Linked DNA regions of Bombyx mori. The main gene of each other region encodes a partner of the protein of the gene in region 5 in a complex. Links are inferred from orthologs where the notes say so. Each region holds a gene or a part of one and is shown on either strand. Other genes may lie near its edges. The genes, in order: RING-type E3 ubiquitin-protein ligase PPIL2, pre-mRNA-splicing factor CWC22 homolog, armadillo repeat-containing protein 7, small nuclear ribonucleoprotein Sm D3, pre-mRNA-splicing factor ATP-dependent RNA helicase DHX16, E3 ubiquitin-protein ligase RNF113A and U5 small nuclear ribonucleoprotein 40 kDa protein.

What was found.
Region 1: pre-mRNA-splicing factor ATP-dependent RNA helicase DHX16 (region 5) and RING-type E3 ubiquitin-protein ligase PPIL2 share a complex: the UniProt entries of both Homo sapiens proteins name them as parts of the minor spliceosome. The link is inferred for Bombyx mori from reciprocal best matches to the Homo sapiens genes DHX16 and PPIL2.
Region 2: pre-mRNA-splicing factor ATP-dependent RNA helicase DHX16 (region 5) and pre-mRNA-splicing factor CWC22 homolog share a complex: the UniProt entries of both Homo sapiens proteins name them as parts of the minor spliceosome. The link is inferred for Bombyx mori from reciprocal best matches to the Homo sapiens genes DHX16 and CWC22.
Region 3: pre-mRNA-splicing factor ATP-dependent RNA helicase DHX16 (region 5) and armadillo repeat-containing protein 7 share a complex: the UniProt entries of both Homo sapiens proteins name them as parts of the minor spliceosome. The link is inferred for Bombyx mori from reciprocal best matches to the Homo sapiens genes DHX16 and ARMC7.
Region 4: pre-mRNA-splicing factor ATP-dependent RNA helicase DHX16 (region 5) and small nuclear ribonucleoprotein Sm D3 share a complex: the UniProt entries of both Homo sapiens proteins name them as parts of the minor spliceosome. The link is inferred for Bombyx mori from reciprocal best matches to the Homo sapiens genes DHX16 and SNRPD3.
Region 6: pre-mRNA-splicing factor ATP-dependent RNA helicase DHX16 (region 5) and E3 ubiquitin-protein ligase RNF113A share a complex: the UniProt entries of both Homo sapiens proteins name them as parts of the minor spliceosome. The link is inferred for Bombyx mori from reciprocal best matches to the Homo sapiens genes DHX16 and RNF113A.
Region 7: pre-mRNA-splicing factor ATP-dependent RNA helicase DHX16 (region 5) and U5 small nuclear ribonucleoprotein 40 kDa protein share a complex: the UniProt entries of both Homo sapiens proteins name them as parts of the minor spliceosome. The link is inferred for Bombyx mori from reciprocal best matches to the Homo sapiens genes DHX16 and SNRNP40.

The regions. Positions count from the first base shown.
Region 1 is NC_085116.1:14,595,389-14,597,990, reverse strand, and holds part of RING-type E3 ubiquitin-protein ligase PPIL2, read right to left. Parts: intron 2,535-2,602; coding exon 2,386-2,534; intron 762-2,385; coding exon 610-761; intron 1-609. UniProt on the Homo sapiens protein: Has a ubiquitin-protein ligase activity acting as an E3 ubiquitin protein ligase or as an ubiquitin-ubiquitin ligase promoting elongation of ubiquitin chains on substrates.
Region 2 is NC_085110.1:1,337,975-1,342,155, forward strand, and holds the start of pre-mRNA-splicing factor CWC22 homolog, read right to left. Parts: upstream 2,801-4,181; 5' UTR 2,572-2,800; coding exon 1,524-2,571; intron 1,001-1,523; coding exon 343-1,000; intron 1-342. UniProt on the Homo sapiens protein: Required for pre-mRNA splicing as component of the spliceosome. As a component of the minor spliceosome, involved in the splicing of U12-type introns in pre-mRNAs. Promotes exon-junction complex (EJC) assembly.
Region 3 is NC_085121.1:11,321,643-11,325,771, reverse strand, and holds the start of armadillo repeat-containing protein 7, read right to left. Parts: upstream 2,801-4,129; 5' UTR 2,648-2,800; coding exon 2,539-2,647; intron 1,996-2,538; coding exon 1,825-1,995; intron 398-1,824; coding exon 147-397; 3' UTR 1-146. UniProt on the Homo sapiens protein: As a component of the minor spliceosome, involved in the splicing of U12-type introns in pre-mRNAs.
Region 4 is NC_085122.1:328,611-332,684, forward strand, and holds small nuclear ribonucleoprotein Sm D3, read right to left. Parts: upstream 2,801-4,074; 5' UTR 2,613-2,800; coding exon 2,303-2,612; intron 1,192-2,302; coding exon 1,109-1,191; 3' UTR 183-1,108; downstream 1-182. UniProt on the Homo sapiens protein: Plays a role in pre-mRNA splicing as a core component of the spliceosomal U1, U2, U4 and U5 small nuclear ribonucleoproteins (snRNPs), the building blocks of the spliceosome.
Region 5 is NC_085110.1:11,482,215-11,485,714, reverse strand, and holds part of pre-mRNA-splicing factor ATP-dependent RNA helicase DHX16, read left to right. Parts: intron 1-58; coding exon 59-195; intron 196-631; coding exon 632-2,195; intron 2,196-2,855; coding exon 2,856-3,258; intron 3,259-3,343; coding exon 3,344-3,500. UniProt on the Homo sapiens protein: Required for pre-mRNA splicing as a component of the spliceosome. Contributes to pre-mRNA splicing after spliceosome formation and prior to the first transesterification reaction.
Region 6 is NC_085108.1:7,585,954-7,590,018, reverse strand, and holds the start of E3 ubiquitin-protein ligase RNF113A, read right to left. Parts: upstream 2,801-4,065; 5' UTR 2,551-2,800; coding exon 2,457-2,550; intron 1,187-2,456; coding exon 1,035-1,186; intron 484-1,034; coding exon 331-483; intron 1-330. UniProt on the Homo sapiens protein: Required for pre-mRNA splicing as component of the spliceosome. As a component of the minor spliceosome, involved in the splicing of U12-type introns in pre-mRNAs. E3 ubiquitin-protein ligase that catalyzes the transfer of ubiquitin onto target proteins.
Region 7 is NC_085109.1:1,115,071-1,119,030, forward strand, and holds the start of U5 small nuclear ribonucleoprotein 40 kDa protein, read left to right. Parts: upstream 1-1,160; 5' UTR 1,161-1,390; coding exon 1,391-1,507; intron 1,508-1,818; coding exon 1,819-1,945; intron 1,946-2,506; coding exon 2,507-2,710; intron 2,711-3,031; coding exon 3,032-3,274; exon of another isoform or gene 3,275-3,836; coding exon 3,837-3,960. UniProt on the Homo sapiens protein: Required for pre-mRNA splicing as component of the activated spliceosome. Component of the U5 small nuclear ribonucleoprotein (snRNP) complex and the U4/U6-U5 tri-snRNP complex, building blocks of the spliceosome.

The DNA.
Region 1 (2,602 bases), on a different chromosome or scaffold from region 5:
CAGTCTTGGTTGGAAACGAACGTTTCGGACTCGAACTTGACAGCTGAAGACTGGCCGTCGTCTAGTCCCTATCTTAATCTGCTGGATTATAATTTATGGTCAGTTTTAGAGAGTACGGCTTGCTCTAAACGCCATGATAATTTGGAGTCCCTAAAACAATCCGTACGATTGACAGTGAAAAATTTTCCCATGGAAAGAGTGTGTGCTTCTATTGATAACTGGCCTCAACGTTCAAAGGACTGTATTGCAGCCAATGGAGACCACTTCGAATAATCTTTTAATACTTTAAATTGTTTTATATTTATGTTTTAAACTAACACACTGTAAAAGTAATAAACGTTTTTGCAATAGATTTTTTTTTTCCCTTTGTCTCAGTATTTATGGCAAGACTAGGTAAACTCACAGTCTTGAGTAGAACCAAAGCACTGGTCTTCTTCACGTTCTTGTATTTATTTAATTTTCAAATAGTGAAGTTTTGAGAATAGTAATTTTATTTATTGTTTTAGAAAATTCATACAACACGAAACTACAATTTCAAAAAAGCAACTCTGTCCCAGTCCTAAAAGCTTCAGTTCATTTATAGTTATTAAAAATACATCTAGTACTTACAATTGTGATCCGTTAGTATTGGTTCCCGAGTTAGCCATAGACAAGACTCCTCGTCCGGTGTGGTGCAAGTTTGGCTTAATTTCATCATCAAAAGGTTTCTTCCAAATGGATTCGCCTCCCAACCCTGTGCCCGTTGGATCTCCTCCTTGAATCTATATATATAAAAATGAATTGCTGGTCGTTAGTCTCGCTAAAACTCGAGAACAGCTGGACCGATTTGGCTAATTTTGGTCTTGAATTGAATGAAGGTTTAAAAGGTAGATAAATATGAAAATGCTCGGAATTAAATAAAAATAACAATTTTGTTTTCCCTTTGAGTTTATTTTTTACAAAAGTTTAGGTTTTTTGTTTATCGAGGCACTAAGAAGTCGGCCGCGTCAGCTAGTTTAATAAAAAAATCATATATTTTAAACAGGTAAGTTGTCTAATCGCCAGACGAACTTCACGGTCCATCTGGTAATAGACAGTTATAGACAGTCTAAAACTAAACGCCTCTGGCATGATTGCTTTGTGTTAAAAATAGACAGAAAAGTGAGACCATAGGTCATAGGTTCTGTATCCTCTTATCACCTGTTTATCCCAAAAACCATATTGCAGATATAGTAAGTAGTTCTGAGCTTACAATAGAATTACTCTAGACACACATCTGTCTCTAATTCAATTTGTTTGTTCATTGATAGTTTTCATTAAAATAATAAAGCTAGCTGTCCCAGACCAACTTTTTTTTCAAAATGAAGGATTACTGGTGGCCTTTCCATTGTCACCAGGACAGGTGGGCGAGCAAAGGCTCAGTCAGGAGGCCATATCGAGAGGTGTAAGGCTATTTGGTTTAAGCGATATTTCGCTTTATACGCAATGCAATAATAATGTTGTATCTATTATAAAAGCGTTGCAGAGATAACACAAAGGCAGTCAGTAATCGCATCTACTCGAAGCGAAACAGCGAACGGATCACCTGAAGCGAAGCGGAAGAAGTGAATTAAGAACTTTAATGTTGTGGTTTTTTTTTTGCTTGGATTGGTGGACGAGCTCACAGCCCACCCGTTGTTAAGTGGTTATATGCGTTAATACAGTTTTAAATTGTACTTCGGTAGAATTTTTAGTTATCCCGAATCCCAACGCGTAAAAATATTTTGTCCCAATTATAAACTTTAAACGGTCCTCCTGTAATGTAGCAAAAATGTCGCTTAAGCCCTTCGATCAACAATTGTACTATTGTTGATCGAAGCTTAAGCCAAATGGCCTTTCACCCCTCGATACGTAGTTTAATTAATCAAGATGTCAGACACTTTTTTTAGGACCTCTTGAGTCCACGTGGGAGACCACCACCCTGCCTATTTCTGCCGTGAAGCAGTTATGCGTTTCGGTTTGAAGGGTGGGGCAGCTGTTTTAACTATGTGGGCCTGCGGAAGAATTTCGATTCCCGCGGCCCCGCGTGCACGTGTGGTGAGGCACCAGGGTGGTTTTAGCCGGTAGGAGTCCAGCACGCCCCTCCGCCTTTCACCAGGCGGAGGCAATCCATGAGGATTTCTCCCCGAAAAAAAAAAGCTGTTGTTACTATACTTGAGACCTTAAACTTATATCTCAAGGTGGGTGGCGCATTTACGTTGTAGATGTCTATGGGCTCCAGTAACCACTTAGCACCAGGTGGGCTGTGAGCTCGTCCACCCATCTAAGCAATAAAAAAAGTTGAAGTTCTGCAAAGCAGAACTACCAGTCTTTTTACACTAGTCGTGGTATAAAACTCAACGCCACTTAATATTTTCATCAACTCACCATAAAATTCCTGATAGACCTGTGGAACTTTGTTCCGTTGTAGTATCCATTTTTACAATGTGTCATGAAGTTGTGACAAGTTTTGGGCGTTACGTCGCAGTACAATTCAAAGTTCAGATGTCCTACATTTGTTACCAGTCTTACATAACCTGAAACAAACATTGTCTGGTCTTAACAATCTTGCCCTTACATTACTCTTCATGAATTAAAGAGTGAT
Region 2 (4,181 bases), about 10 Mb from region 5:
TAATAAAGTTCGCAAGATTAAACCATAAAGATAGTTTTTGGTAAGCCGTAAACTTTGTTCACTGGTTCCGAAACCATCTCCTAACTCAAAAGAAAGGGTAAAGCTAGTATTAAATCACACCCATGAGCATAGCAATGTAGCAATTGTAGTTAAAATCAACATTCATTATTGTGAACCTCTCATAACAACTGTCATTGCTCTCAGCAATATATAATCGCTTGTCTGTGCCCTGAGCTATCCTTTCAAAGAGTTTCCACTGTCATTTGTCATATTTCCATTTGAAATTGAGGGTTTATTTATTATTATAAAACTAAAAAAACATCAAAACAAAGTAATACGAACGGATCTTGTAGACGGTCATTCAGTTTCTTTAGTCCCATGTATTCAGCCAGTTCTTGAAACAGAATCTTTATGTATATCCGACTAGAACTAGTTGTGTCTTCTTCGTTCAATTTAACACATTCCAAAGATTCCCAACTAATGGAATCTGTAAACAGCAGATGGGCGAAAAACTTGCTGACATTTCTGAGTCTATTCGTGTCCAACCTGTGTGCTGTTGAATATGAATCTTTGAAAATTTCCTCGAAAGGTCCGATGTATATTCTGTTGATGTTGCAAAACCTTTGGGCCAATAAGCCATAGAATTTCTCATATGTTCTCTGCTCAGCACAGCAGTCTAAGAACATGTGGCATAGTTCCACTTCTTGTCCTGGTTTCAGTTGCATCTTCATTAGTTTATGAGCACATTCTTCGAAATCTAAACTGGAGTTGATTGTCAGGTATATAGTGCGTCTCAGAGCCACTAAGTTTGTTTCTGTGTTATCAATAATAGTCATTTCTTTTTTTGGTTGTTCTTCATCTTCTTCATCAGATTCCTCACTACCGCTTTCTCCTGAACCATCTTCATCACCGGACTCAGCATCAGAACCAAGTATTTCCTTGCAAAGATTCTTGTACTTCTGTTCATTCTCTTCATACTTTTCATCAAATTTGAAAACATCTGAAGCATTTGGGAAAATTGTTATTTTTATTCTTTTATACTAATTTGCTTATTTTACATTTGTTTTAAATGGAGCATTAAGATAAATTGTTTATAACATTCAATAATGTTGGGCATAAATGAGTTAATACATACGATGGAAAATAAAAATAGGCTAAAATAATGGATATTGAATTCACTAACACAGAGTACTACTATCTTAAAACTTAAAGCAAAAAGTATATGAAAAAAAATTGAGATTGTTTAAGTTACATTTTTAAATAAGCTAAAAGCATTTTTATGTAAACTATATATAAAAATTTTTGATTAATCCTATTAAAAATTAAAACTTTACTCGTTTAGAGTGTTATATACACTCAAAACTTTTAGCATTTTAAGTGTTACAATAACTCTTGTGCATACCCTCAATAGCTATTAAATAACTTAGGGGAACAAATAATTCAATTGACAGACTGTACAGATAATCTACTTAAGTGTTTTATGGCTTATTTTTTTATGGATAGTTTAATAGAATATAACATACTCAGGATATCTTGAGGATCTGTAGCGTCATCCAGCATCAATAGATGTGTGAACTGTTCTTCTTCAGGCACGAGCTCCAACTCTTCAATCAGTGCCGGGTGGTCTTTGAACCCATCCTTCCAAACTTGGAACATTACTTCTATCATGTACTGAACTCTTTTGTCTAACTGACCTTCGTGCAAAATGTTCCTTAGCATCTCGAAAATTGCATTTACACCTTTAGATGATACTTCAGTCAATTTTTGGCCACATTCCTTTAAGAATGCTATGGCAACTTCAACTGAATCATCTGTTGGTGATTCAACTAGTAAAGTGAGAAGTTCTAAAGCCAGAATTTCATGTGCCACTCTCTGATTCACTAAATGTGCAATGAAAGATGCAGAGGAAATGCAAATTGACTTATCATTGCGTTTAAAACCTCTTTTGAATTGAATCACTAATCTTTTCAGTAACAACTCCCCGATATTAGGAAAACGTGAATTGACTGCTGATACTAGAGCCGCGTATACATTAGTGAATGTTGGCGAGGCTGCCTGGGCTTGAATAACAGAACGGCATAACAAACCTCGACCTCTGACAATGTTTTCTTTCAATAATTCCTTTATAATGATACCTATGTTACCGACATTAATTTTGTTGATGTGACCGTGAATTGACTTTTTGAGAGCTTCCCAGGCAAGTCTTTGGTAAGCTATCGAGGACTTATCCGTGATCTGCGCTTGCATCATCCTCAGTCTTGCTGGTGGAATGTATGCACCTCCTGTTCTAGTATTCAACATATCAGTATCTTTTGCGCGTCTTTCTGGCTTTGTAGAGGCATCTTTTTTTGTTTCTGGCTCTTTTTGTGTGTCTTTAACTCGTTTATCTTCCCTAGCCTTGTAATGAGGTGAGCGTGATTTGGAACGCCGGCGTTTACTTCTATACTCCCTATTCTGCTGTTCCTCAAGTGACTTAGATCTAGATCTAGCCCGTCTCGACCTTTTCGACCTACGCCTTTCATCATCTTCCTCGTATTTATCTTTCTTCTGCTTGGTGTTAGTCTTCTCCATTCTTATGATTTTTGTTTTGACACTACTAGACTACAATTGAACTTTTTATAAAAGAATTTAATACTGTATCTAGAACTCAATATTATTAAAACTATTCATTTTCAATATTATGTGTAAAATCATGAAATTTATTTCGATGAAAAAGTAGAACGTGCACTAAGTAAAATCCAGCTTGACCTTAATAAAACAGCCATTTTGTTTTGACATTTTTATTTTACTGTCATGTCAGTAGTAGTAGAGTAGTAGTAACTCCGTTTTCCAACTGAAAAGGTGAAGGTATCATACTATACGGCCTAATAAAGTAAAGTATTGTTTAAAAAAATTTAAATGAAGTTGTTTTTGCGACATTAATCAATTGAGATTTGAGATGACATTAAATGAAACGAAATGATATGAGATGAAATATAATATCAGTAAAATGGTGTTTATGTATTTGGACAAATTCAGTTAACTTTTTTAGATTATCCACTCTCGGCGCTGTTAGGTGCTAATTTAATGGATAATCCTAATGTTTGCAGCAAAGATTTTTTTTTCCTACCTAAGCTGATGTTCTAGAGAGATCATATCAGCGTCACCAGGCTAGTAGGTGAGCTCACGTTGCTCAAACCTGACGATGTTGCTAACACGAACCCTAGCAAGAGCAGTGCTGCGCAGAATCTACCACCGGATCGGAAACACGACCCACCGAAAAGATCTGGCGACAAACTCAGTGGGCTGTGTCTGTGGGTTAATTTATTCACCCAGTCCTTCGTCGCAAGCGAGGGGCTTGACGAGAACGATGACCGGTGCTTGGGGTACCTAAAAGCACCGTTAGTGGATCAGGAGGATCCGAGATGACGTATTTTGGGTGACGTCGAATGTTTACCATTTGGTCCGCAAGATCGGCAATGTAGTTATCGGCGGCCACGTTGAGAGGGTTCTCGTGTCGTCGGAGCCCATAGACACGTCATGATAATCGCCTTATCGTTGCCGCCGCTGATTACTCCCCGAATCCTGATCACGCAGGAGCAAGTCACCGTCGTCGCCCTAGACATGTCCTTACGGATCCATCAGATCCAATAACTCTTACATTAGATACCTTCAGCTCTAACACTAGGAGCAGGCTGAGGAACCCCGGTAACCGTACTCGTCGAACTCGACAAAGAGGTCGACGTGCAACCTAACCCATGCATCAGCTCGCTGAGTTTCTCACCGGATCTTCTCAGTGGGTCGCGATTCCGATCCGGTAGTAGATTCATTCGCGAAGCAATTGCTCTCGAGTTGTTAGGTCTCCTTCGGAGGCGCTCGGGTAGCTGTTAGCAAATCCCACCCCTCCTGGCTGAGCCTTTGCTCGCCCACCTGTCCTGGTGAAGCTGGAAAGGCCTCCGGGCCACCAGTAATCTTTCAATCATAAAAAAAAAACATTTACAACGTAAATGCGTCACCCACAAAGAAAAGCGGAAAGATTTCAAGAACAACGCCATAAGCAGCCACACTACAGCTATGCTCCGATAAGCACTGCCAGCATTGTAAGATGTGACGTCAATTTAATATACTGCGAAACTGTTCTTTTATAGTTAGCTATACTGGTCACTGTTTAAAACGGAACGTAATACAGTTTATTGTTATCG
Region 3 (4,129 bases), on a different chromosome or scaffold from region 5:
ATTTTATCACCAGCTTTAAAAGCTGTGTTGCTGAAGGATGTGGTATGAATCTTGCATATTTTTTGATAATTTTTATTGTTCACAATAATATAGGGGAATCTATTCGAGAGCATCTTGTTCATTATGAAGTTCGTTTATGTAACTATTCAGGTGGTCTTACACACATTTTGTAGAAAAACTGTAGCTAAATTGACGATCCTCAAATCCTGCGTAGTTTTCAAATTTGACATCATATTTATAACGTCTTGATCAGTTATTTCAGTTTTTGTTTTCTCATTGTACATATATATCAATGTCGTTATTGTATCAGCTACAGTGTCTGTATCACTTGACTTCAATAATCGAAACAAAGGTTTTAATCCCAAGTGAGTTAAAATATAGTCTGCATTCAGTGGATCTGAAAAGTGATAATTCTTACATAAACATGTGAAATGTGAAATAGCAATATGATTTTATATAGTGTCAAATTTTTAAAGATGATTCTAGCGTTTTTCTAAATTTGGGATTTTACATTGCTTAGATGGGTGGACGAGCTCACAGCCCACCTGAAGTTAAGTGGTTGCCGGAGCTCATAGACATCTACAACGTAAATGCCACCACCCACCTTGTAATGAGTTCTAAGGTCTCAGTATAGTTACAATGGCTGCCTCACCCTTCAAACCGAAACGCATTACTGCTTCACGGCTGAAATAGGCAAGGTGGTAGTACCTACCCGTGCGGACTCACAATAGGTACCAGTAATTACGCAAATTATAATTTTGTGGGTTTCATTTTTATTAAGCGATGTTATTTCTTCACTGTGGAAGTCAATCGTCAACATTTGTTAAGTACGTATTTCATTAGAAAATTTGGTACCCGCCAGATACCCGCCAGATACCCGCCGGATTCGAACACCAATGCATCGCAAGATACGCATGCACCAAACGGAGTATCCTTTAGACCACAACGACTTCAAAATGTTTGATTCAAAATGACTGATAAATCTTTAGTATTACTAATTTCTTTTTTAGCAATAATTTATTTCGGGTCTATTGCTATTCTATTGCTAGTCTATTCCTGCGGGATCTTCCCGGGGATTGGATCCCGTCCTATTGTCAGGACGGGTACCGGCGACGGCGAGCCTGCGGCGCGCATTGTGCGGTACCGTAGGTTTCGTGGAGTCGGAGTAGTGGAGCTCGATGGGGTTTAGTCGGTAGTCGGGTCTATTGCTATTTTATTAATGCATTTGCTATTTTATTCTTTCTTAATGAAAATATTATTGAGAATCAGAATCAAATTTTTTTTACTTTTTAATTACTACTTTCCTTACTCTTCTAATTATTATCTTGAATACTGTCAGTAGTGTGGTGGCAGCATGTGTTGGTACTACTGTCAGATATAACATTAATAAACCATTTCAGTCTAATGGGCTTAAGACTTTCCAATATAATAAAGAGAGTTCCAATTTAATGGTATGTAGGGACAGTTACACAATATTGAGGGGAAAATGGCTATTTGGTATAAGCAGCATTGCACTTAAAACATTTACAAGAAAACGGTGCAAGCTCACTACATATTATTGGGCACTTTCAATTTTAATTTACTTTAAAATGCACTAAATCACATCTTATCAACACTCACAAATATTCAAATAGTTCAAGTATTTAATTAAATTTAAATAGAGCTACTTTGATAATCTTAAATAAATTATTGTACATAATAATATAAAGAATACTTTTATTGAACAGGTTCTTTCTTATAAGAGTTTTCATAAAAAAATTGACAGTTTAATTGAACTTATAATAATTTGAGAAAACTATTCATCTATTGTTATCAACAGCTTACCTAAACACAAATTGCAGACACCCGCAATGGCATACCTTATTAATCTACCAATAGTTTCATTCTTCAGCACATACAAGAATATATCTAGTACTCCAACGTCTCTAATGTATGAGTAGTTCACAGGATCATATGCAAAATTTGCCAAATTGGCTAAAACTTGCAACTTTGCTTCTGTAAGGAAAAATAACATTAACAAATTGCAGTGCCATGGAGAGAGCCGTGGAGAGACAGAGATAGAGAGAGATAGATTACTTTACTACACACCAAAACACAATCATCATTGTGTCACACAATCATCTCTTCTAAACAACCTTTTTTATCTAGAGAAATTGTGAAAAAGATCCAACAGGTATGTTATTAATTATTCAGAAACAGAGCAAACCTTCATGCACATTACTTAATAATGAAGAAAAAAAACTAATGTATGATACAATAAATATAAATATAAAATATAAATATTAAAATCACTATAATCATATCCCATAAGTCACATACACAATTTAATTTTATTAAAACGAAAAATACCATTATCCAAACGCAATAGGGCTAGCTGTACTGTGAGTACTCTTTAGCATTAAGGTCGCCCTTGTTTATGCAATAGTTTTCTAACTATCTAAGATTTTTAAAAGTAAAAACTTTAATGGCAATTGTGAAAGTTCATACGTAAATCGCATTAAAATTAATTAAATAGATATTGCATGTATATTTTATTACCATAGGAACTTGAGTGTAAATATTCGTCGACTAATAATGACAAATATGCCTCGCGATCAGTACCATCTTTTGGGGTACGTTTTTGTAAGTGTGCTCTTGAACTGAACATTAAATTATAGTAACTTAAAAGGCTATAGAAAAAATCCTACTTTGACTGGACCACTTTCATTAAAGTAAATACACATTCCTTATTTTTCCTTTGATTCAATAATTCAATTGACACGCCATGACAGTTTTCTCTGTTGTTTTTGACATTTGACAGGTGGCACAATGACATGCGGAAGGGAACATTTTATCTACCATGACATGGGGTAAATTGGGATCCTGGGGTAAATTGGGACAAACCTGCGGAAGATTCTCAAAGTACCTGTAGCACGGAATCTACCTAATTTTGTTTATGTTAATATTTGTCAATGTATAGAAGAAAAACCAAGTTAACTATAGAAGTACTAAATATGAGTTAAGTTGGTCCCAAAAATTCGTCAAATTAAATTGAAAATAGTGGTTGAAAAGTGCGTTTTAAAACAGCTTAAAGAACTTTTAAAAAAAGTAATATTATCGTTGTTTTTTCAATAAGATCACAGTTTATATAAGTTTTTAATACACCTGGAAATACCACAACAAACGGTAAGTTGCAATATTCTTATTTTAAATACAATATTTCGACAAAATAAAAAATGTATATTTTTTCTTTCCTTTTTGGGGAAAATTGGGACGTTTGTAGGGTAATTTGGAACGAGACTGGAAAAATTAGGGACGAGAAAACACAAAATTGGAACGCCAAAAGACAAAATAGGGATGGCTTGTTAGGGTTGTCACTGATATCTTATAATAGATTTTTTAGCCTATACTATCACTTAATTGCGTGATGTAAAGAAGGTTAATATGTTTATCAGTTAGTTTATGTAAGTATTATAGGTAAAAGAAAAGTATATATATAATTACTTTTTTTTCGCGACATTTACCTTGTAACATCTGCCCGGTCGTATGTTCTTTATAGCAATAAAAAAAAAAAAAAGTTAAAAGAACTCAAACGAATCAAAACTTTTGTTATTTCATAATCTATTCACGCGTCGAATCATGATTTTGTTAACATTCACAACGCACACACAAATAAAAACAGGCCTCAGATTTTAAATGTAACATTAATTAAAAATCCGAGATATCCAATTATGAGTGAGTGAATTAATTGAGTTTAGTTATTTCGCTTAGAAAGAATTTCTTTTATTTTTGTTATTATTGGCAGTAATCAGATAAAGCCGGTTTTTTATCTTATTCACCTGATATCTTACTCTTGCTCAAAGATTATTTTGAAAATGTTGATTAAATAAAATTGTATTATTGCATTTCCAGTCCTTTTGTTTTCTATTTTTTATTCTATTTTATGATTTTGTTTCAGAGTTGTGATTTTTAAGGAAATTAAATAATAATTTTCTAAAATATAACATGCACATACTTTTTTTGATCATTGTATTGTTGATTATCATTCACGTCACATCGCTTCAGAATAGAAACCAGCTTAATTTACACTATGTTGTGTATTGTGCTTAAATTATGGATTGTATTCATCATTTCGGTCCATATAAATAAT
Region 4 (4,074 bases), on a different chromosome or scaffold from region 5:
CTGAGGTGCTGATGTGCAGTGTGAGCTTGTATGGTTAGACACCACTGTCCTGTGCGTCTGTACAGTGAAGCCGTCATGACTTCTATTATTATACTATCTCAGAAGCAGTAGTGGCCAGTGGAATTTGACTAATAATAATTATAGTTAGTTGACACTGCGTGTCTCATAAATAAAAACACTAGTTATTATCCAAATTGTTTTTTATTTGTTTTCAATCTTTTGATATTCACACCCACAACGACACATCCTATCACATATCTGCTGACAGTCTCAGTAAACTTGTTACACTGTTTGTAACTAATCTAAATTCGAACATAAAACATTCAAATTAAAAATATTTTGCATAAGAGGTTGTCGTGTCCTAAAGGATAAGATGCCGAGTTACACACATTTAACAAACATGCATGATTGTTGCAGGTTTTATGCTGCGAAGCATTCCAATTTGCCCATTAAGACAGCATTTATCCCAAACAGTACAACTGGGACTTTGATCTCAAACCTCATGGTAGGTGCAGGCCTTCATAAAGTCTATAGGCTCCAGTTACAGTGCAAAAAAATTCAAAATTATATGGATAAAACATTGTCAAAACTCGGCCATTGGTTAAGTTTGGTTTGTACAAGGCAGTTTATAATAACTTTTTATATTTAATTACAATAGTCACCCCCGCATAAACCACACATAGATATTTCCTCAAGCCAAAACAAGATTGAACTATTACCCATCATATGGACAAGATTTCTAGATTATTGGGACTGATATAAGGATAGAACATAGAGATTAAACATTGTATTGATTGGGAGTCACAATAAGTCACCATAGGGTAGCATCAGTGTGTAGTGTCTATTTGATCAAATGGTCCATGAGACCTAAGATGTGTAAAGCAGATTGAAGGGTGACCAAAATAAAAAAACAGAAAATCTGGAACAGGACCTTATTGTTACATTTGAGAACATAATAATAATCTTTGAACAAACAGTTGTTCTATTTCCAAAATTTGTATTTTTCTCACTTAGATATATCAATATATAAGAATGATAATGAAATAATTCCTTGACAATTGAAATATAAGACAAGTACAACTTAAGCTATCTAAAAAATATCTTAACGCTAGCGTCGAGATGGTCCTGACCCACCTTGCCAGCCTCCACGGTGGCCCCCACCTCTTCCACCTGCTCGTCCTCGACCAGCAGCTGAAAATTTCAAAGATTTGTATTTTACTTCTTGATTCCTCTAGATGTGTGAGTAAGCTTACAACCCACTTGATTAATGATTTACTGTGGCCCACAAACATCAAAATAAGGATGCTGGTTGGCATGATACTTGAGATGAGTATGAAGAGATACATATATTTGATCGCTCAAATGTATTGTAGTTACTGTCCAGCCCGTCAAATCAATTCACATTCCTGTTTAGCAACAGAAATTTGCCGTAATTATTTAAATACACAAGAATGGGTTTTCACAAATGTAATAGATACAGTTATTAGTTTGCATAACATTATGTAAAATAGGTTTTACTTTAGATGTGTGAGATTGTGTGCATTAGGTACTTGACATGGTCTCATCATTCACATATTTTCTTTAACCACCCAAAGTAAAATTGTCAATAACATATAGTTGAATGATTAGAAACAATTAACATTGGAACAAAATACTGATTTGATATTACAAAACTTAAAATTGCAAATTTGACATTGTATGTCTATATAAGCACTCAAGAATGAAAAATTGTAAAATATTCTCAATTACTATTAAAAAACTGTGACAAAAAATATCTATACAGGATATAAACAAACAAGACATTTAAAAAATCAAAGCTTCAAACTACCTATTTTTTGCTCATTTGACCCAATTGATCACTATGTATTCAATGCATTTGTACTAATTTTAATGAAGGCTATTTATTGATTGTAATTAAATGTGCTTATCTTTCATACTTGCATACGTTTTCTACTTAGAAATTTTCGTTTAATAATTTGGTTATATAGTGCAGTAATTGTTAAATAGACTTCACTCAAGTCTAATTTATAACAAGCCTAAAGAAATGGGTTGTTCTAAGCTAAAGATGTTTATTCTTTTTTAAGTCTTTGAATTAAACGAAATTAAGAACAATGCATATTCACAATTTCAGTGCTAGATGTAATTAGACTGCAAGTCAGACAGCACTCATTCATATATTAACACTCGTATGTTGTCTTGTTGATAATGAACACAATCACTACGTATGTGATGCGAGAGAACATTTAGGATACCTAGCTCGATAAACAAATCACATACACACTATTTTTATATTGTTCAATACCTTGGGCTCGCAGTATCGCACTCTTCCCTCGTCCTGCAGTAGGTTTATTCCCTTGTCTTTTGAACATTGGCGCGTTCTTCAACATGTCCGGTAATATTAAAAATCTGATCTTGGAACCACGGATGTACACATTCTCGAGCTGTGCAACTCGGCCATCTCTGTATGTGACTGTTACGAGAGTCATTTGGCAATTCATATTATCCTCAGCTTCAATTAATTTCCCTCTATAAACTTCACCGGTATTTGTTTCACAAGTCACTACATGACCTTCCGCCTCGTGAAGTACTTTAATAGGCACACCGATAGACATGTTTACGTTTTAGTTAAGAAAAACGTACGATAAAGGACAATAATTCAGTATTATTTCTTAGATTATTTACGATAAAAATGGGAAAGAATATTTCAAAAAAATTAGACGCTTCAAATCCATAGACATCTAATGTAATATGGCGGCGAGTTCCGTGCATAGACAATAGACATTTTTATTCATTCATTGACAGACAAAGACAACATAACCCATATTACCAAAAATCCATTATGATTTTTAATTCCCTTAGCATTGTGAAAATCAACTTTACTGGTGGTAGGAATGGTAGGATGTCTGCGAGTCCACAGAGGCAGACAACACTACCCTACCTATTCCTGCCGTAAAGTAGTACTACCTTTCGGTTTGAAAATGCAAGAGCATCGCAGGGTATAACTATTGAGATTTTGCAAAAAGTTAAATGTAATCTTAGTTAATTCCAACCATTTTTCTAAATAAATTACATTTCACTGTACATAGCCTAATAGACCTAGTTTCATTTGTAAAAAAAGCTAGGTGCTTAGGCTTTATGCTTGGGGTAGCAAGGGGGCGTGTAAATAGCCCTCCTGCGGCGGGAGCATATAAAGCGGGGTTGTAGAAAGGCGTGTAAATAGCCGTCCTAAGCGGTATGTGACAAATGTTTGTCACTTATAATTAGCGGAGCGGTAAAACTATATAGCGGTAAACAAAAGCTAGTAATCAAACTAAAGATATAAATTAAATACACATAAGCGAGCGGGCGGGCGAATGATTACACGAAGCAGCAATAAAATGGCAATAAATTAAAAGAACTTGCACTCACCTGTAGATCTTGCCAGTGACTGTCGTGCGGGCGTCGGCGATGGAAGCACGCGGGCGGCGGGAGGGGGTGACGAAGCTCACGTAGCTTTTCGTAAGCTCAAGCACCACACAATATACAAGTGCCGCCATCTAGGCAGCTAGCGGTAAAGCGTGATCGATCGGGTAGAACCACGCTTTGGGTAGTCGCGGTAATTAGTTACTGACAAACTCCAAAGGTGGCGCCATCCCAATAATTCATTAGCATCCCATTACTAAATCCGCGTGACCATCCTGCCCGCCTTGAAAGTTCGCAGGACTTTCAACAAATATATAAAGATACTAAGATAGGAAGCATAAAGCTTAAATAGCGGGAAGTTATTTGAAAAGAAACAAATTTTAATTAATAATAAGCCATCATGAATGTTTACGAGTAGAGTTGAAGCGGTTGATGACATGCGGTACTCTAATTTATTCTAGCGGTAGCGGATATAATTTTACAACTGGACGTTTAAGAAATCCAGATTTCGTTTTTACCAAAGCAACGCGTATAATGTTATCGGCACCTGGATACACCTCTTGTATAACTCCAAGTGGCCAGCGGAGCGGTGGAATGTCATCTTGATGAATAAGAACTACTGTCCCAACCTTCACGGGGTTATCTGATGTACACCACTTCTGTCTGACTTGC
Region 5 (3,500 bases):
GCATTTGGTTAAAACAAAATTAATAGTTTAAAATGTGTCATATCATTTGTCTTTATAGCCTAACAAAAAGAGAAAAAGAAGAAAGGGAACACAAGAAAACTTTATTACAATTAGCTAAAGAACATGAAAAAGCAAGAGAGTTAGAAAATGTTCAAAGATATCATATGCCTCGGGACTTGGGGAAAGGGGAAAAAGGTAATTATCCAAAATTACAAAGAAACCTTTCAAATGAAGAACTAAACAAAGCTTCAAACCTTAAGAGAAATTTAATTATGTAAAATATTTAATTATGTATTTCAAATTATGGGATGAAAAAAACTTAGCTGACGTTAATAAAATGAAGGTTTAAATTATGGACAAAAAGTTTTTCAAGCTATGAACAAAATTTCTGAAATATTTTCATTTTATTAATGATGTTGTTTGGTAAATCATATAGAGTTTAATTGTGAAGTTTCAAATATTCAGTTTGGTCTTAAATTTCTATATTGTTTATTTCTCATCCAATACTTTCATTTTAAAATTTCAAAATTTACAAATCAACAAAACAAAAGAAAATAATTAAAAAATTGTAATCAGTAATAAATTATTTGCTTGTACATCTTGTATATAACCTACTAATTGTATATTACAGGTGAATATGTTGAAGTTGATGAAAATGAGAGGTTGCCACATTCTGAACAGCAAAAATGGGAACAAGAACAAATTAAATCTGCTTTCTTTAAATTTGGTGCAAAAGATGCTAAAGCTACAAATGAATATGATTTATTACTGGATGAACAAATTGATTTCATACAGGCTCTTAAAATGGAAGGTTCTGAAGACAAAAAGGAAAAGTCAGAAATATCAGAATATCAAAAAATTCGAATGACCATTGAAGAAACAAAAAAATCACTTCCAATATATGCGTTTAAACAATCACTTATTGAAGCCATACAAAATTATCAAATTCTAATTGTAGAAGGTGAGACAGGATCTGGCAAAACAACACAAATACCTCAATATCTCCATGAAGCTGGTTTCACTAAAGATGGGAAAAAAATTGGGTGTACACAACCTAGGAGAGTAGCTGCTATGTCAGTTGCTGCAAGAGTTGCACAAGAAATGAACGTAAAACTGGGAAATGAAGTTGGTTATAGTATAAGATTTGAAGATTGCACATCTGATAGAACAGTAATAAAGTACATGACAGATGGAACTCTTCATAGAGAGTTTCTATCAGAACCTGATCTAGCCTCATACAGTGTAATGATCATTGATGAAGCTCATGAACGTACCTTACATACAGATATATTATTTGGTCTTGTAAAAGATATAACCAGATTTAGACCTGATTTAAAATTGCTTATATCCAGCGCAACATTGGATGCTGAGAAATTTTCAACATTCTTTGAAGATGCCCCAATTTTTAGAATCCCGGGAAGGAGATTTCCTGTGGACATCTATTACACAAAGGCACCCGAAGCAGATTATGTAGATGCTTGTGTTGTATCAGTATTACAGATTCATGCCACACAACCTCTTGGTGATATATTGGTTTTTTTAACAGGACAAGAAGAGATTGAAACATGTGTTGAAATGTTACAAGAAAGGACGAAGCGTATAGGCAAAAAACTGCGCGAGCTTTTAATATTACCAGTATATGCCAATTTGCCTAGTGACATGCAAGCTAAAATCTTTGAACAAACTCCTGAAGGAGCTAGAAAAGTCGTTCTTGCTACAAATATAGCTGAAACTTCATTGACAATTGATAATATTATATACGTAATAGACCCAGGTTTTGCCAAACAAAACAACTTCAATTCCAAGACTGGCATGGAAAGTTTAATTGTTGTTCCCATTTCTAAAGCATCAGCAAATCAACGAGCTGGACGAGCCGGAAGGGTTGCTCCTGGAAAATGTTTTAGATTGTACACAGCCTGGGCATATAAATATGAATTAGAAGATAATACTGTACCAGAAATTCAGAGAATAAATTTAGGAAATGCAGTTCTCACTTTAAAAGCTTTAGGCATCAATGATCTAATACATTTTGATTTTTTGGATCCACCACCGCATGAAACATTAGTTTTGGCTTTAGAACAACTTTACGCTCTGGGTGCACTTAATCATCATGGAGAGTTAACAAAAGCAGGCAGAAGGATGGCTGAATTTCCTACCGACCCCATGCTCGCGAAAATGTTGTTAGCTAGTGAAAAGTAAGTAATGTAAACATAAGTCATTCTCTCATAACTAACTTTCATAATGAAGGATTAACTTCTTCTTTTTCTGCATCTTACTATCAGCCAACAGCTCAACACTCACTACTCTCTCTCTCTCTCATATCGTCATTCACACACTCCATCCGTCTTCTTCGATCGACCTCTTTCCTCTCTACCTTGCACTACCAATTCCGTACATCTCCTAGTCACATGCATCTTCTCTCTACGCATCACACGTCCATACCACGCTAACTATCCGCTTTTTAATTTGTTAATTACCGGGGTTACTTTCATACTTCCTCTGATATACTTATTCCTCATCTTATCCATTCTTGTCACTCCACACATCTATCTCAACATTCGCATCTGGAATGAAGGATTTACATTGTGTAATAACCTGGTAAATTTTATAAATTTGTATAATGACTAGTGATAGAGCTGTTGTGGAGATATCGATAATTTTATTATAACTAATGTACAACACAATCAAATCAACAAAACTTTTATTCCACACTTTATACTACAGACTTACAGATTGTGGGTGAAGAAGTAGTTAGTAGCTGATAAATGCGAACGCGTCCACTCATACCCTCTAATTAAAAGCAGTTCAGATTGTCTCAAAATCACTTTAATTCTCACATTTTTCTTGTCTTACAGATATAAATGTTCTGAAGAGGTTGTCACAATTGCAGCAATGCTATCAGTAAATAGCTCCGTCTTCTACCGGCCTAAAGATAAAATAATCCATGCAGATACAGCAAGAAAAAATTTCTTTCATCACAAAGGAGATCATCTGACAATTATGAACTTATACAATCAGTGGGTTGCTTCAGATTATTCGGTGCAGTGGTGTTATGAAAACTTCGTGCAGTATAGATCGATGAAACGAGCTCGAGATGTTCGTGAACAATTAGTCAGCCTGATGGAAAGGGTAGAAATTGAAATGGTTACAAGTTTATCTGATGATACTAATATAAGAAAGGCTATAACGTCTGGTTATTTCTATCATATAGCAAAATTTTCAAAAGGTGGTCATTATAAAACTGTAAAACATAATCAGGTAACGAAACTTAAAATCTTGATAGTTAAAATAATGTTTTTTTCTTTTTCTTATAAATCTATCCAAATATATTTATTGCTTTCAGACAGTTATGATACATCCTAATAGTGCTCTATTTGAAGACCTTCCACGATGGGTGATTTACCATGAGCTTGTATTTACATCTAAAGAATTTATGAGACAAGTCACCGAAATTGAGAGCAAATGGCTACTGGAGGTAGCGCCTCATTATTACAAATCAA
Region 6 (4,065 bases), on a different chromosome or scaffold from region 5:
CCACGAAGTGTGCGATTTCAATACTGTTAAATGGATACCTGTAGTTCTCACATTTGCGCGTGGAGCCTTTTTTATGGAGAGGAATTAACATTGATTCCGTCCAGTCTTCAGGCCACTGGCCAGTACGCCATATTTTCTGGCAAATGGAGTGTAAAATCTTGGTACCATCCGAGCCTAGGCTCTTTAACATTAGAGCGGTTACGCTGTCCCTCCCGCATTCTCCCTCAGGCAACATTGGAGGAAGCTGGTGCAAAAACTGGACCAAGGTGGTCACGATCCTCAGTAATGAGGAAACGACAAAGAAGAAGAAGAAGAAGAAGAAATGGATACCTTATCATCTGCTTGTCCGTGCAACTCTTCATTGATCTTCTGAGCCTTCTCAAAGATGGCTTGGGCATCTCTATCCTTTTCTGTGTCTAATTCATAGGTAGCTGTTGCATTCTCTCTCTGTTGTTGAACCGATAGTGTTGTCCTTTGAGAAGTCTGAAAGAATTGTAAGCTTATGTTGATCTAAATGGATCTTAAAACGGTTTTTTTTTATGTTCAATACAGAAGACAAGACTTCAACATAAAGATGACGTGTAAAAAGATTAAAGAGATAAAAAGATGTGTGCCAGATTTAAGTAAAGATAAACTGCTCTAATTGTTGATAATATTGATTTCAGTGGAGATATAACTGAGACACTAACAAATATCTCAAGATGCATGGCGGCATTTACTTTGTAGATGTCTATGGGCTCCTGTAACCACTTAAGAACTTAAGGAATAAAAAAAGACAACCCGAAAGGCTGAAATGGCAGCAAGCAGGCTGTTGGAACCAAAAGTTCTCAAGTGGCTATTATATATCTAAATATGTATGAAGTATGTGAAGATTTGAAGTGTGGGTAGGCCTTCTACAAGATGGACCAACAGCCTGTTTATGATATCTTATATCTGGTGCTTCAAAGGTGCAGATCTCATTATAGATCAGATTATCAAATCTGATGATATCCAAGTGAGTTGATGATGATGATGAGCTGTTAATGTTACTATACCTTTTCTTCATCATTACTATCATCATTATCTTCAATTACATCAATTTTGGATTTCTTCGGACCTCCTGTAGACTGTATGTTTGGATTTGGTTTGTTCACCCTTTTCGTTGGTAGAACTACTTGTTGCTCATCAGAGTCCGAGCTGTTTTTCTCTGAAACGTTACTATATTAAATTATATATTAAGCAGCCGTCTGGTGTAGTGGTAAGTGACATGGTCACTACACAAGGGGGTCGCAGGTTCGAATCCCGCCAAGGGAAGATATTTGTATGATAAATATAAATGTCTTTCCAGGGTTATGGGTGTATATTAAATATATATATATATATATATATATATGTGTATAATAAAAATATTATATTTATTTCCGTTATCTGGTACTTGTAACACAAGTTCTTTACGAACTTAGCACGGGACCAGTTAACGTGGAGTGATTGTTAGTAAATATTTATATTTATAAAAAAAAAAAATATCAAGTATATATGAGGCTGTCAGCGCAAAAGTGGCCTAACCCACAATTTTTCATGCTTATAATCATGTATATTGCAATTTATTTAATATATAATAAATTTTTATGCAAAACCGGCCTATCCATAGTTTCACCCATAGAAAGCAGATGGCTTTGTAATCATTATTTTAGCGCATATTGTTTTTTTTGCCAACTCAAATTCAAATTCATGAAAACTAAAGCCTCATTGCTCCATAATAACTATAGTACGCTTAGGCTGCTTTTGCGCTGACGGCCTCATATGATAAAATATATATCGACACTTGAAAGGCAAACGTGACTAAGCGACAATGCGTGAACTTTACGGTAGACTAATTTAAAGTTGAAATACATGAAAACAAAATTTATTTTAACGAATCCAGTTGTAGTAGAAACTAGCTAGTAGCTGTAGGATTGAAATAATTTTAATAGACCTAGAAATATATATTTTTTGCGGATCGAATATGGTTATTGCCTATCATTTATGTGCAAAGCAGTTATTGTCGCTTAGTCACTTTTGCCTTTCAAGCGTCGATATATTTTTTTTATAATGGTAATCTGCCGATAGTTTCTGCCAGCAATTTCTGCCAGTGTCGTGTTATGGCTACATATGGAACATTGTCGAGCTATTTAAACACACTTTATATTATAAAAAGTATCCAATTTTGGCTATATTAATGGTGCCTGGGACTAACACAAAATTAATGTTACTACAAACTTACATATTATAATAAAGATTATGTACAGAGAATAATGCGCTACATATAATTATAATTTTATAGTTAGTAGTTATACACTTAATAAAAGCACTTATAATACGGGGGTCTGGGAACAGTGAGAAAGAGGATATGAAGAAGCGATGAGATAGTTTTAATGTACTATTCTTAGATGTCTTTCGTTTGGAGAATAATTTAATAACTTAACGATCAATATTACCTTCTGAACTGGAAGTTTTACGTTTTCTGCCACCCCTATTCTTAATATTACGTTTTTTAAAAGTACTGAGTACTTCCACTTCGGCGTCTGACATTTTGAACGATTGTTTATTCAACCTAGTGTGTGCTTACTACGATATTAGAGTAATATCTACATAATCATTAATGAGGACACAATAATACTAAATAAAAGTACTGTATTTCACTTTAGGACCTTCAAGTATTGTCGGTATTTATAGGGTTTTTAATTAATTTTTGCATTTCACAACATGATAATATTGGCAATGATCAAAATAATGCTCATTTTTAACATTGACATGTGATTGATTTTGACGGATAGTTGTTTTTTTAAACTATGATTTGTCTATTGAATGGAGGGAATACTGCCCATACAACATAGCTTAAACATTTATAGCAATGCCTGAAGTTAAATCAAAACTTAAATTAGCATATGGAATAATAAGGTTAAATAAGAGAAAGCCGTACATGTTGTATAAGATGAAATAAAATAGCCTGTCAGTAAATTAGCGGAGACTTATTGAGGCTTCTAGGCAATTTGGAAGGGACCCGAGCAGCCACACAGCCACATTGAGGAATTCTTTTTTTTTTCACACTTAAGCCCTTTCTACTACTACTGTTAAAAGTTGAAACCAGAGTTAAAACTCAAACATTGTAATGGACATAATAAACACTATTCTTATCACGATGTTCATGTCTCTTTTATAGTAATAATAAATAGATAAATTAATAAAGTCATTAGCTGCCTTGAAATAAAGTGGAAGTGGAATCATAATTTACCATACAAACTGGAAATATTGAATGCTAAAAGGTTTAGGGTGTAATTTTTTTTTTATTGCTTAGATGGATGGACGAGCTCACAGCGCACCTGATGTTCAGTGGTTACTGGAGCCCATAGACATCTACAACGTAAATGCGCCACCCATCTTGAGATATAAGTTCTAAGGTCTCAGTATAGTTACAACGGCTACCCCACGCTTCGAACCGAAACGCATTACTGCTTCACGGCGGAAATAGGCAGGGTGGTGGTATCTGCCCTTGCGGACTCACGAGAGGTTCTACCACCAGTGATTACGCAAATTATAATTTTGTGGGTTTGATTTTTAATACACGATGTTATTCCTTCCCCGTGGAAGACAATCGTGAACATTTGTTGAGTACGTATTTCATTAGAAAAATTGGTACCCGCCTGCGGGATTCGAACACCGGTGCATCGCTCAACACGAATGCACCGGACGATTTATCCTTTAGGGCACGACGACTTGATATTTTAAGGAATGCACAAAAAACTCAGTCTAGTTTTATCGATCCTTGTATTAAAACGTCACAGGTTACAGCGCTCACTGATTGCTTGTCACTTGTCAGGCTTAATATTGCCGTATTCTGCAACGCGGCCCCGTTTTGTATTTCTTAGATGACCGTTATGAGAAGTGCACATTTATGAAACACAATAAAAGAATGACATCGTGTAATAAAATGCAAACTGTAAAAATAATAATTGTGTATAGGTATTGTGTGCTCGCATAGATAAATTATTTTGTATACACCATTAATGGCTGCCACAAAAAACATTTAAGAATGATCACTAATTA
Region 7 (3,960 bases), on a different chromosome or scaffold from region 5:
ACCAATCTAAGCAATAAAAAAAAAAAAATGCGTTCTCGTCTCTTTTAAAAGTTCATTACACAAACAAAGCGATCGGGGCTACACGTGAAAAAATTGTAACTTAAACAAATGATTTATAGCCGTCGTGACCTAAAGGATATGACGTTTGGTGCATTCGTATGTAGCGATGTAACGATGTTCGAATTGCGCAGGCAAGTGCCAATTTTTCTAATGAAATACGTACATATCAACTAAACTGACTTCCACGGTAAAGGAATAACATCGTGTAGTAAGAACAAAGCCCGCAAAATTATAATTTGCATAATTACTGATGGTAGGACGTCTTGTGAGTTTGCACGGATAGGTAGCACCACCCTGCCTATTTCTGCCATAAAGCAGTAATACGTTTCATTTCGAAGGCTGGGACAACCATTGAATTTTTGAGGAGGCAGTCTCCTCCCGGTGATGGTCACGGGGCCTCCCCCGGGCCAACTCCCTCACCTGAGGGGGTTGAGGCTGCGCCGCACGCTACCTACCATCACTCTAGCGCGCTGGCACAAGGAGGACGGGACAACACGTCAGCGACTACGGCCTGCAATGCGGTCCGCATTGTCGTCGTCACTATCGTCGCCGAACATACTGTGGAAGAGCAACGCGGTCGGAGGTGTATCGCGTTCTGACCCATCAGGCTGGTTTTGGCCAAGCAGAGTATCCCAGAACACCAGCGGCATCGCCCGGGCGGCCAGGTAGGGCCACCGTACCGCGGAGACCAGCGTCATTGGTCATCGACTACCGTCTCGACGACCCGTCGGTCAGGGGTCCTCGGAGGGGCGCCGCGTGTCTGGTTATAGTGTTGACCGCGGGAACCCCCCCTACATTGTCCGGATTCTGAGCCCGGACGGAGATCGGACGTTGGGTGTAAATGTGCAAGGGAGTCGTTTAGTGCGGTAGGGCCCTAAAACTCCTTGGGCCCGCGGTCTGCTCCCAAAACCTGCAGATCGTAAAGTTCCACATATCTCACGCCCTCTTAGGCGCGGGGACCTCTTAGAAGGATCGGCCCCGGGCCCGAAAAAAAACCATTGTACTTTAAAAACTGGGACATTAGAATTCAAATCTCAAGGTGCATGGCGGCATTTACATTGTAGATGACTATGGGCTCTAGTAAACACTTTAAGTTCTTCATTTTGAATGACTCATTATCTCATCTTCTCATCTGAATAGGTATACAAAAAAAAAACTTTTTAGAAGGTAGCTTTGTCTTTTGTTACAAAGAATTTGGCGATATTGGCTATTTTCCTTTTGCCTATACAATTGACAAATGAAACAAGCTAAACAGTCCTTATACCATTTTTAAGGTTAGTATTTCTGTTTGTAGCTATAAAAACAAATAGGTAAATAAACATCTTAAAAAATGCCAGATATAGAAACTAAAAGAAAAGCAGAGGATGTGTCTCTTGTACCCTCCAAGCGAGTACGGCATGAGATCTCAGTAGTCGGCACCAGAGAAAAGGCAGTTGTTACTTCATCTGTGAGTATTGTTTTCAATAAAGTTTACTTATTTTCTCAATAGTACGGTCTATAAAAGCTAAGAACTCTAACGCCACGGTGAAAGCATCAAGAGATCATAATTATAATTATTAGAAATGGAACATAACATCTAAAATAAACTTTTAGAAAAACACAATCTGTACTTAGGTAATCATGATTGATATTTGTTAAAATTTAAGGTAATACGAATTTTAGTCGGCTTTTACTTTAAGATTTATTTTTCAACATTTGTAGTGATCAACAAGATTCCAAGATTCCTGTGTTTTGTATTTTATATTCTTGTCGTTCTAGGTTCCACGAACATCAAACTTGTATGCGCCAATTATGTTGTTGGAAGGACACCAAGGAGAAATTTTCACAGGCAAATTTCATCCTGAAGGCAAACATTTGGCTTCTGCAGGCTTTGACAGACAAATATGTAAGTAACAAAATCATGACAAAGCTTTTGAATTGGCAAAGTGTTTCTAAAATTCACACTCTAATAATATACTACTATCAAAACGTTAATGAAGAATTGACACATTTGATAACACAAATTATAAGATTACAGTAGGTAGGTTTTAAATTTAATTGAAAAGAGTGAACAAGGTAAAATCTGACCTAGTGTATAAGTGATTATTGGAGACCATAGACATTATATTACAGCGTCTTAAATTTTCTCTGAAGTCCAAATCCATTTCAGTTTGATTTAATATGCATTATTAAGAATGACTGCCAGTACCAATATCCCAGGCATGGGCCACACTGTACTGGGGTTTTAGTGACACGAGCCCTATAATGTAGGGAACAATATGATACAATACTCAAAATGATAGCTGATATAAACTGTTTAGCTTAAGCCACCATTAATATAAAAAAATACAAAATAAATGTTTATACCATTGAAAATTTCCACCAATGTCAGGGTCATGTTGACAACTTATAAGCTGTACAAGTCCAACTTAGTAATATTATGATTTTTGATTTCTTATTTTCACAGTAATATGGAATGTGTATGGTCAATGCGAGAATGTGATGGTGATGAAAGGTCACACGGGAGCAATAATGCAGCTTTGCTTCTCACCTGATGGTTCACATTTGTACACTGGAGCTACGGACAATACTGTAGCAGTATGGGACGTACCCACCGGGACTAGAATCAAGAAGTTAAAGGGTCACGCTAACTTTGTGAACTCTGTTTCAGGTATGTTTCATAGTTTGAGTTTTGACACACAATGGTTTTCATGCTAGTGCTTTTTAGTAGTACAAATACACAACAGTAACTTAATTAAACATTACTTTGCACTCTCAGAGCCTTAAAGTGATTGGATCCAAATAAAGTGGGATTGACCTAAAATTGAAACTATAATCCGTAACCATGGTTTGAAACCAGATAACATCAATCTAAAATCTCAATGCCTGTGGATACAATAGAACTGTAAATTCATTCATGGCATCCATTAAAAAATTGGTTTAGACAACGTAACAATCTATTCTAACTTTCTCGTGTTATCTCTATATCCAGGAGCAAGAAGAGGTCCAGAACTCTTAGTTTCAGCTTCAGATGATAACACCATAAAATTATGGGATGCAAGGAAAAGGAATCCAGTTGCATCGTTTGACAGTTCATATCCAGTCACAAGTGTACTCTTCAATGATACAGCTGAAAAAATTTTATCCAGCGGTGTGGACAATGTCATCAAAATGTGGGATATAAGGAATAATCAGATTTCCTTGAAAATAAAAGGACATACAGACACGGTTACAGGTTGGTAATTCTTTATTGATTCTGATTAATTAGATTTTTATTAGGTGATAATACTGCAACCAGAAATTAAATTAAAATATTGATACAGTTTATCTAGAGTGGAGTGAGGGCAATATGATGACAGTAATGACTTCAGTCTATTAGTTAACTACTAAAATACTGATTACCATACAATGTATTTAACAAATATTGATCTTATGAGGAAATGAGAATGGATTGATTGGTATGCAGTACAGTAGTAGTAGTTGCATACATATGTATTTCTCTTTATAATCCCTGTTGTTACTTGTTGACGGGTGTATTGTAAACTTCTTCACCCATTCTGCCTTCGGTAGCCCAAACTGGTATTAGGTAATTTTAGAGAAATGTAACAGCTATTATTAGAATGTCTCTAGCCTTATAAGTAGTAATAATTCATGACTAAGACTACTTGTTTAGTTTACTTGTAGATCGTGAAGTCATCTACCCAGGTGCGGCAATAAATATGTGAATAGAAATCATATGAGTTTGATACATTTAATGACTGGCAATGTCTAACTTGTGTTGCAATACTCGTTTCCAGGATTATCATTGTCATGGGATGGTGCATATCTCCTGTCCAATTCAATGGATAATACACTCCGTATTTGGGACGTTAGACCGTTTGCACCAACAGAACGCTGTGTCAAATTAATGTCTGGCCACCA